2 linked regions of the Drosophila melanogaster genome follow. The protein of the gene in region 1 interacts with the protein of each later gene in a pairwise test. Each region holds a gene or a part of one and is shown in the gene's direction. Other genes may lie near its edges. The genes, in order: RNaseZ and Cpr12A.

Evidence for each region.
Region 2: the proteins of RNaseZ (region 1) and Cpr12A interact in a two-hybrid assay, tested with the Drosophila melanogaster proteins (one large-scale study listed by BioGRID).

The regions. Positions count from the first base shown.
Region 1 is NT_033778.4:10,306,278-10,311,796, reverse strand, and holds RNaseZ (ribonuclease Z), read left to right. Parts: upstream 1-2,002; 5' UTR 2,003-2,133; coding exon 2,134-3,358; intron 3,359-3,416; coding exon 3,417-4,492; 3' UTR 4,493-4,767; downstream 4,768-5,519. Other genes in the region: Obp46a (Odorant-binding protein 46a), read left to right, coding at 34-147, 199-355, 414-625; CG12909 (uncharacterized protein), read right to left, coding at 717-1,562; CAP, read right to left, coding at 5,484-5,519. UniProt on the Drosophila melanogaster protein: Zinc phosphodiesterase, which displays some tRNA 3'-processing endonuclease activity of nuclear and mitochondrial pre-tRNA. Probably involved in tRNA maturation, by removing a 3'-trailer from precursor tRNA.
Region 2 is NC_004354.4:13,541,696-13,545,503, forward strand, and holds Cpr12A (cuticular protein 12A), read left to right. Parts: upstream 1-1,947; 5' UTR 1,948-2,078; coding exon 2,079-2,391; intron 2,392-2,798; coding exon 2,799-3,007; 3' UTR 3,008-3,212; downstream 3,213-3,808.

The DNA.
Region 1 (5,519 bases):
AAAATGATGATCGGGTACAACTTTTTATTGCAGCATGATTTCTGCTGCGACCTGCACGACGAGAGTCCCCAGTTTAGCGACTGCCAGATGGAGTGGCACGAAAAGATTCCATACGAGACGGATGAAGAGGAGCAGACGTACATGTTTGTGAGTTCGGTTGAGGAGCGTAAACAAGTACCAAACTAATTGCTTAATCAGTGCACCGCAGAGTGCAGTTTCAACAGTACGAACTTCTTGGGCAGGGACCGCCGTTCACTGAATCTCAATGAGGTAAAGGAGCACTTGGAAAGCGACCTGGTCAACGATGCGGACATTAAGCTTCTCTATGACACCTATGTCAAGTGCGACAAGCATGGTGTGCAAGCTGCGCGAGTTGTTTATTAAATCATCTCTAAATGAACTACCCTTTGCAGCGCTCTCACTGATGCCGCACAAAGGTGTGAAGCAGCTATCCAAACGTCTTTCGCGTCTTGGCTGTCATCCGTATCCCGGACTGGTCCTCGAGTGCGTGGCCAACGAGATGATCCTGCACTGTCCCACCAAGCGCTTCCGTCAAACAGCCCAGTGCGAAGAGACACGCAATCATTTGAAGCAATGTATGCAGTATCTAAAGTACAAGTCCTAGATGTGGGATTAATACATGGGCACCACTTCCAGCTTACACGTTTATTGTCCTTTTGTTATAATTAAACTATGACTAAAGGTGGGATATTCGGCTAGCTAGCGATCTTAACTATTTCACCCTCGACTTCCAAGGAATCGGCGAGCTTAAGTTGCTTATCAAAGCGTTTCTGAAACTTCTTCGCCTGTTTTTCGTTCAAATCCTCGACGGACAGATGCTTGGCATACTTCTTGAGCAGCTTCTTACGAAGTTTTTCCAGGAAAATGCCATCTGCTTGCTTGGTAACGATCTTAGTTAGCTGGGCGGCCCAATCAAAGTCGCTGGTCACGCCGTTGGAGGTCTCCTCGGCAGCAGCATCTTCTGTGGTCTCCACTTTGGCCTTCTTCTTGGGTGGCGCCTCTTCCTCGACCTCTGCCTTCTGCTTCTGCTGTATTTCAGCAATCTTTTCCGCCTTGGCTCTGGCCAGCTCCGCTTGCTTTGCCTCCTTCATCTTGTTCAGCTCCTTCTCGAGAATATCCCACACCTGGGTGGCCTGGTTGCGGGGCATGCGCATGCAGTTTCCCACGAAGTTTTCGAACTTAGCCTTCTTGCGGGGCACGTTGTCGACGCTCTGGAGCTTTTGGAAGGCGGATCGAACGGCTGGAGTTAAATTGTACTCGCTGCTGTCGAGGATCGACCGAATGATGTCCATCCAACTCTCTTGCTTTTGAGCGTTCTTGTTGCGGGGCTCCTTGGCGGCAAAGCCTTGGCTTTGGCTGGCGTACTTCTGGGCCTCTGAGATGCACTTAATGTGTGCCACATACTCCTCGCCATAGAAGTCCTTTAGGCAGTCCATGCAGGACACGTTCTTGTCTTTGCCGCGACAGCGCGTCTGGTAGTGCTTTTCCACCGCCGGTTTCTTTACCGACTCGCCGCAGATGTTGCACGTGAAGAAGACCATGGTGTAGCAGTCGCTGATCTCTTGTTTACCGGGGAATCCTTGGAATTTCAGGTAATTTGGTTGAATTTACCGCCGGCGGAGGCCAAACAAAACGCACGTGGGCATTAGAGTGACCAATCACGTTCGAGGCTTAAATACCTGAAATTCAGTGTTGCCTAAGACCGATTTCAAGTACGCAAATAGGAATTTACTTAATCTAACATATTAATTTTTAATTCAACATTCATTGATATGGTTAATAATAATATAAAGTTGGAATAATTTACTGCCCTTATTTATTAAAACATATCTAGAAATTCCAAAACTGTAAAATACAACAGAAAAATATAATCAATTTTCTAGACAAGAATCATTTTAACTTAAATTTAATTCCTTTTAGCACTTTTCTTCTATTTTTTACTATCGTCCCATTTCGATGTATCGCAACCATCAGCGTGCCATCACTAATAGCAACAGCTGTTCGCAGACACACGTTGCCGGTGCTGACGAAATTTGTGCGAATGATTTCAGCGAATTCCCCGCTTTTTCAGTTTATTAGAAGCCCGCGACTACAGACTCTGACGAAATACGAATGTATTTAGTAAAATCAGCCAGGTCGCCGATCTACAGAACCTTGCGAACGCTCACAACCAGTAATTTGATGGCGGCCACAATTGCCTCGGCCAAGGATCCTTTAACAGGACCTCGCTATGAGCGGGAACCCAATGTGCTTAGAAAAAAGCTGGCCTCCGTGGTGCCGGGAACAGTAAATCTTCAGGTTCTGGGCTCTGGCGCCAATGGAGCGCCTGCCGCTGTTTATTTGTTTACGGACCAGGCACGCTATCTCTTCAACTGCGGCGAGGGAACCCAGAGACTAGCTCACGAGCACAAAACCCGCCTATCACGCCTGGAACAAATTTTCCTTACACAAAATACGTGGGCTTCCTGCGGAGGGTTACCAGGTTTGACGCTCACCATCCAAGATGCCGGAGTGCGCGACATTGGACTCCATGGACCGCCTCATCTCGGCTCTATGCTGCAGTCAATGCGACGTTTCGTGGTGCTAAAGAATCTCCAGGTGCGGCCAAACGATTGTTCTGAGGGCGCCTGTTTTGAGGATTCCATCTTGAAGGTGGACTCTCTGCCCCTGATCAATTCGGAAGATCCGACGAAAAGTGTAATTAACTACATTTGTCAGCTGAAACCGCGAGCTGGCGCCCTAAACTTGGTGAAGTGCGTGGAGCAAGGTGTGCCGCCAGGACCACTTCTGGGACAGCTAAAGAATGGCAACGATATCACACTGCCTGATGGAAAGGTGGTGCGTTCAGTCGACGTCACCGAAGCCAGTGAAACTGCACTGTCCTTTGTTTTCCTTGATGTGCCCAGTGAGAACTATCTACCAGCACTGCTTACACACGGCAAAAGGCTTAAAAAGTTAGGCGAAGAGAAGTTAACTGAAGTGGCGCTTGTGGTGCACTTCACGCCTTATCATATATCTTCTCGTCAGGTGTACAAGGATTTTGTGGTGGAGAGTTTTTCATCTGAGGCACAGCACATATACTTAAGTTCTCCCCTCAACCAATTCTCAGGCTATGCAGCCGCCCATCGCATTCAACACCAACTCCACCAACTGGCACCGCAAGTATTTCCACTCCTGGGCGAACAATTGTCCTGCCAGAGTCAGACTCTCAGTCTAAACCTTAAAAAAACGAAGTTGGACGAGGCCGATTCGGAGGACAAAGCAAATGCAAAGGCTAACGAGACAGAAGAACAGGGTGTGGTCGCCATGACAAACTATCACCTGAGACCAAGGAAAGGTTGGTACTATTTTTTACTTACCATTCAATGCTATAAGTATATTTTTATTACCTGAAGGTCTGGATCGCACTCTTGAGTCCAAACTCACACCAGAGGAGTATGTTAAGGAGACCCATGCCGTACCAGGATTTCTGGAACTATTGGCCAAATTCAAAGAAGAGTATAGTTTCCCTGACAATTCTGCCGATAGCTACCCGAAGATAATTTTCTTGGGCACAGGCTCCTGCATTCCCAATAAGACGCGAAACGTGAGCTCCATTCTGATCAGGACTGCAATTGATGCCTACGTGTTGTTGGATTGTGGAGAAGGAACTTATGGTCAAATTGTACGACTATATGGACACGAGAAAGGGCAGTTGATTCTTCGCCAGCTACAGGCGATTTATGTATCCCATTTGCATGCCGACCACCACATTGGATTGATTGGTCTGCTCCGGGAAAGGAGGCAATTAAAACCTAGGGCAGACCCACTTATTCTGCTGGCTCCTCGCCAAATTGAACCTTGGTTGGAGTTCTACAATCGACAAATAGAAACCGTAGAAGATGCGTATACTCTAGTGGGCAACGGTGAACTCCTAGCTAGTCCCCTGAGCGGTGAACAAGTTGAACGTCTAGGAATTACGTCCATATCCACCTGCCTAGTTAGGCACTGCCCCAACTCTTTCGGAATAAGCCTAACTCTGGCGGCAAAGCACAATAGCGAACCCGTCAAGATCACTTACAGCGGCGACACTATGCCATGTCAGGATCTGATCGATCTGGGCCGCGACTCCACCGTTCTTATTCACGAGGCGACAATGGAGGATGACTTGGAGGAGGAGGCGCGGTTAAAGACGCACAGCACCGTGTCGCAGGCTATTCAGCAGGGGCGGAATATGAACGCCCGCCATACGATTCTCTCCCACTTTTCGCAGCGTTACGCTAAGTGCCCGCGATTACCGAGTGATGAGGATATGCAACGAGTTGCAATAGCCTTTGATAATATGGAAGTGACCGTTGAGGATCTGCAGCACTACCACAAGCTCTACCCCGCCCTTTTCGCGATGTACGCCGAGTACACGGAAGAACTGGAGCAGCGGGCTGTCAAGCGGGAGCTGAAACAGGAGCGAAAGCGAAAACTGGCAGAAACGTGATTGCCGGCAAGTTAATCCGGATAGTCAGTATAAGTTACTCAAGGAGCTACTGTTAATCTTATGTCAGAGTTGAGTGGTATTTGTTAAGTTTAATGTTATTTCTTGAAACCATAAAATTTGCCCAAATACTAATTGGAGATATATAGATTTTATATATGAAATTAATAGGGCACCTTTGCTTGTATCTGTATATGCTTGTGATATTTGCATTTGCATCATTTACAAGTTATTTGTATGATCCAACCCAAAAACCCAATAAAAATATAAAATAATCCATTTTGTTTTTTAGTTTCTTCTTTATTTACTAATTACGCTTGCAACAGTGTCTGTGTAATAAACGATTTTTGTATAGATTTTTTAAAATGGTTTCTGTTGGTTCGGACACGACAATATCATAAATAATATTCATAATTATCAATAGTAATTATCCACTCTGCCGACTCAACAAGGGCACTTGAATCTTAGCACTTTGAAACATTTTATATCGTTTTAGTCATTTAAATTTCAACTTTAAGGCACTTTAGTTCAACGGTCTCTTCTTTTTTTCGCAATTGATATTCTTTTTGGAAATTAGCTGTGACTAGTTAAAATTAGTAGGTAAACGACAAAGTACATATGTATGTATGTATGATCTTAATTAAGGTCCTTCGATATTTGGTGTGTGTGTGTGTTGGAGTGGGGGAGGTGGAGGGGACAACTTTTGGTTAATATTTGGATGTCATAAATAAACGTAATTCCAACATTGATAAAATTAATGCTCTGTTTAAAAATAAATAAATAGCTTTAAAATACGGCAAAACGAAAGCAGCAGAATTAGCGGGATAAGAATTATTCAACAACAACATAAAATAATCCAGTAAAACCAAATCAGAGTTAATCATAGAACTGCCTTTGCCCCGGCCACGCTGATTCCTCCTCGTATTAGACTACAAATTCATTAAGATTAGGCACGATCGCCGCTCCGGGGGCTGGATCATTGGATCGATCTCCTCTAGGCCCGTTCCACGTAGTTGCCGGGGAATGTGCC
Region 2 (3,808 bases), on another chromosome or scaffold:
ACTTTGGCAAGTTTAGCGCGCCTCTTCTGCCCGCCCAACTGACGCACTGACAAAGTGACAAGCTGACAGAGTGACTAACTGACAGAGTGGCAAACTGCCACAGTGACAAACTGACTGCCAGCTTGACTGCCCGACTGACTGAGCGACTGTGACTGCGCTTGTCACTGCGACTTGGCCATAAATCTGCGCCGGATGCCGCGAAAAATGCAAAACAATGTGGCTAAAAATAAGAAGCAAAAAATATTAAATTATTTCATAAATGCTATCTGCTTAAGAGGTGACTGGGCCTTAATGCACCGGCGTGACCTTTGAGGTGTGCGCAAATTAATTAAACGGCGATAAGTCCGTGTCGACATATTGACAGCTGCCCCCGAGCAACACTAACCAATAAGTTTCGCTGTCCCTGAGCTCCTGCGTTTCCTGGGCTTCATGGGCTTTCTCGGCTGCCCGAACCCCCCGGCTCAATTGCACATCATTAACTTTGGCCGACTGACCAAGTGGGTCCATTTCCCCAACCCCCTGTGCGCCCCTGGCATTCAGCTGGCCAGATTCCAGGCCTGTGTTCGCTAAATCGCTGCACATTAAATGCAATTAAGAAATGATTGAAATCATAAATTAGCCCTAATTGGCCACAGGACGCTCGCCTCGTTCGCTCCTCCTGATGCTCCTGCTGCTCCATATCTTCCTTCCCCTACGCACCCCCCCCCCCCCCCACCGATCATGTGCCGCCCCTGGTGTTGCATCTCCACCGCTCGGAATACGCTGCCTTTCAGCTTAACGATGACAGGCGGCACGTACTGGCTGGCCAAATTGTAGGGTGCAAGAATTGTAGTATTTTTAGCTGCTGCCCAGCACCGTGGGCTGCAATCTAAGGATCCGCTTCCCTTATATCTTTATGTCTTAAACCATAAATATATTTAGCTTAATGTTATACAATTTTTATAAATCATTACACCAGCTTATTAGCTTTAATATAATAGTATATTTAGCATAGAAACCAGCAATATAGATTCGACGGATAAAGATACCTACTACTCACTTCAGTCTTTATATACATATATCTAAAGTGTTTTCACAAATTAAAACAACCATATTTTCTACAGCCTAATAAAGACATGAATTTAATTGCCTATTAGTTGTTGAACAGCCATTCTCAACGGTTAGCACAAAAGGCACTTTATAGCGATTCCCTGGCCATCCATCAATTGGCTGCAAATCGATTATGTCTGCCGTATCAGTTTCGAACTGTGATTGCTTAGCCCCACGCCCTTTCCGCCACATCCGCCCCCTTTCCACCTTAACCCCCGGAATGCCAACATTATCGAAACCCACTGGTTAACCCATTGTGAGCAATTTGGCGGCCGTGCGAACAGCGCCAAAAGCAAACACACAAAAGAGGCGCAACCAAATTGCCCAGTTAGCAACCTGTCCAGCCCCTGCCCCGCCCCAACCGCCCCCTTTAACCCATTGAGCTGGGCACACCGATAAGCATGTGTGTAAGTAGATGAAATTAAGATTTTTTTTATATGATTAAGCGTCGAGAATTTTTGACGGCAATGGCTCAGAGAGATGTGCGTGCACTGAGCGAAAAAGGTACGATTTCTGCATTATATTCTACAAATATATATATATAGATTTTATCAAAATATTTCATGACTTCTGATAGATACAAATAAAATATAAACGAGCCTCATAAGTCTTAAGCTTCTAATTATTTTGTAATGCAGTTAGCTGGCTTATTGCTAGGATTTTTAATGGTTAAATGGCGCAACTCCTTTTCTAGCCGTGTACTCGGCTCTCAGTCACCCTTTCGGATATCCCGCTTCAGCTCAGGCTAAAGATCTTCGCTGCCTCGGTCGCCGCCGACTGCGCTGCTCGCCTCGCTGCCTTCTCGATGTCGACTATAAAAAGCCAATGTTACACTGTTTCCGAATTAAACCGCTAAGAAAACATCGCGCGACAGCACACACACCATCCACCTGCGTAGCCCAAACATCCCACACATCCATCCCACCACCACCCATAAATCACATTACATCCACATATCCACACACACATTCACACCGATCCGAGTTAAAATGGCCACTTCCGGTTCGATCCTGTTCGCCATCTTCCTGCTGAGCGCCACCCTCATTTCCGCCCAGCAGATCAAAGAGTCGGCGCCCAGTGCGCGATTACTAGATCGATTCGATAACCGATATCCCGACGGCAGCTACGAGTATCGATTCGAGTTGGACGATGGAACCGCTCGCTATGAACGTGGATATTTCGTTAAGATCAACGATGTAAAGACCCTGATGGTTGTGGGCTACTATGCCTATCGGATGACCGACGGGCGTTACATCACCGTCTTCTACAATGCCGATCAGTTTGGCTATCGACAGAATCAGTGTAAGTATCGGAATTGCGGTTTTCGGTGTGAAGTGATCACAAAGAATTTCAAAGTGATGACAAGGGGCTTTCATTCTTAGAAATATTTTATGTATTAAACACTAAAATATTCATAAATAAGCAAATTATTTTCATAGGAAGGATATGATTTGTGTACTTTGTTACCCTTTTTTTTATATAATTTGATACACTAGATCGATTATTTCGAGTGAGAGCACACGAATGACGGCTCTTTTTGAACACGAGTGAAATGATTAATGTAAACGAGCCAACCATTATCGCAACTCTTTCAGCGAAAATTAATAAGACACGCAAACACCCGTCGATTATTTTCAGCCCAAGAGCACAGATAGCCCTCCACTCGAATCTGGTTTATATTAAATTATATTATTTTGCTACGCCCACAGCGATCACGCCGCAGGAATATCCCAATCTGCCGCGTTCCATCGAGGTGCCCATGGTCAGCGAGGCATCTGCGGCATCCGCGGCATCTGATGGCGTCTCCAGTTCCCAGTTCCAATCTCAGTTTCAATCCCGTCTGGATGCCCATGGTAACCCCTCCATCACGACGACCACGCCCAGGGGGGCGGGGACAAATCGTAGGGGCCGCTACTGAGAGTTCGTAATTGCACACCATGCCCATTATTATTATTGGCTCCCTACATCGTTTTTTATACCTTATTTTATTATTTTTTTTTTTTAATTTTGTGCCCCCGACTACTCGTATTATATTATTATGAATTTAATTTCTGTCCACATTTTTGTTGTGTTCAATGAAATGGGATTAAAAAATAATAAAAATTTATTAAGGCAAAGCAGCGAAAAATTATGAATTTATTATTGAAGATGTTTCCAGTTGTTTGTAGCTGTTTTGTGGATCTGTTTTTTATTGCTGTCCACGCCCCTTCGCGCCTCCAGCCCCCCTTACCAGAGTTCGTTGCGAAGATTTCGCGATTTTTCGAAAGTCGCCGACAATTTGGCAATAAATTTACCACAAAGCGTTTCGGGCAATAAAACATACAAGTGCAGGGCGGCCCCTCGCCACCCTGGGGTTATATATATATAAATATATATACATATTGGATCTGGACATATTTTTGCATTTTTAACACATTTTTGGCGAGGTTCTCGAGCCGAGGGCAATTAAGAAACGAAAACGAAACCAAACAAGAAAATGTCCAGTGCACAGAGAAAAACTATAAGGTATTTTCAGCAAAAAAAAAAACAAGTTGACTTAATAAATAATTACCGCACTTATTGCCTACATAATAATTTCATTGATCAATTTTATTCTGTGCAGTAGAATTAATGTATAAATCTAAGTATCTGACTTTATATGTATATGTATATATCTATGTATTTATGAAATTACAAAATACATTTCATTTGGAGTGTAAGACAGCAGCGATTTGAAACG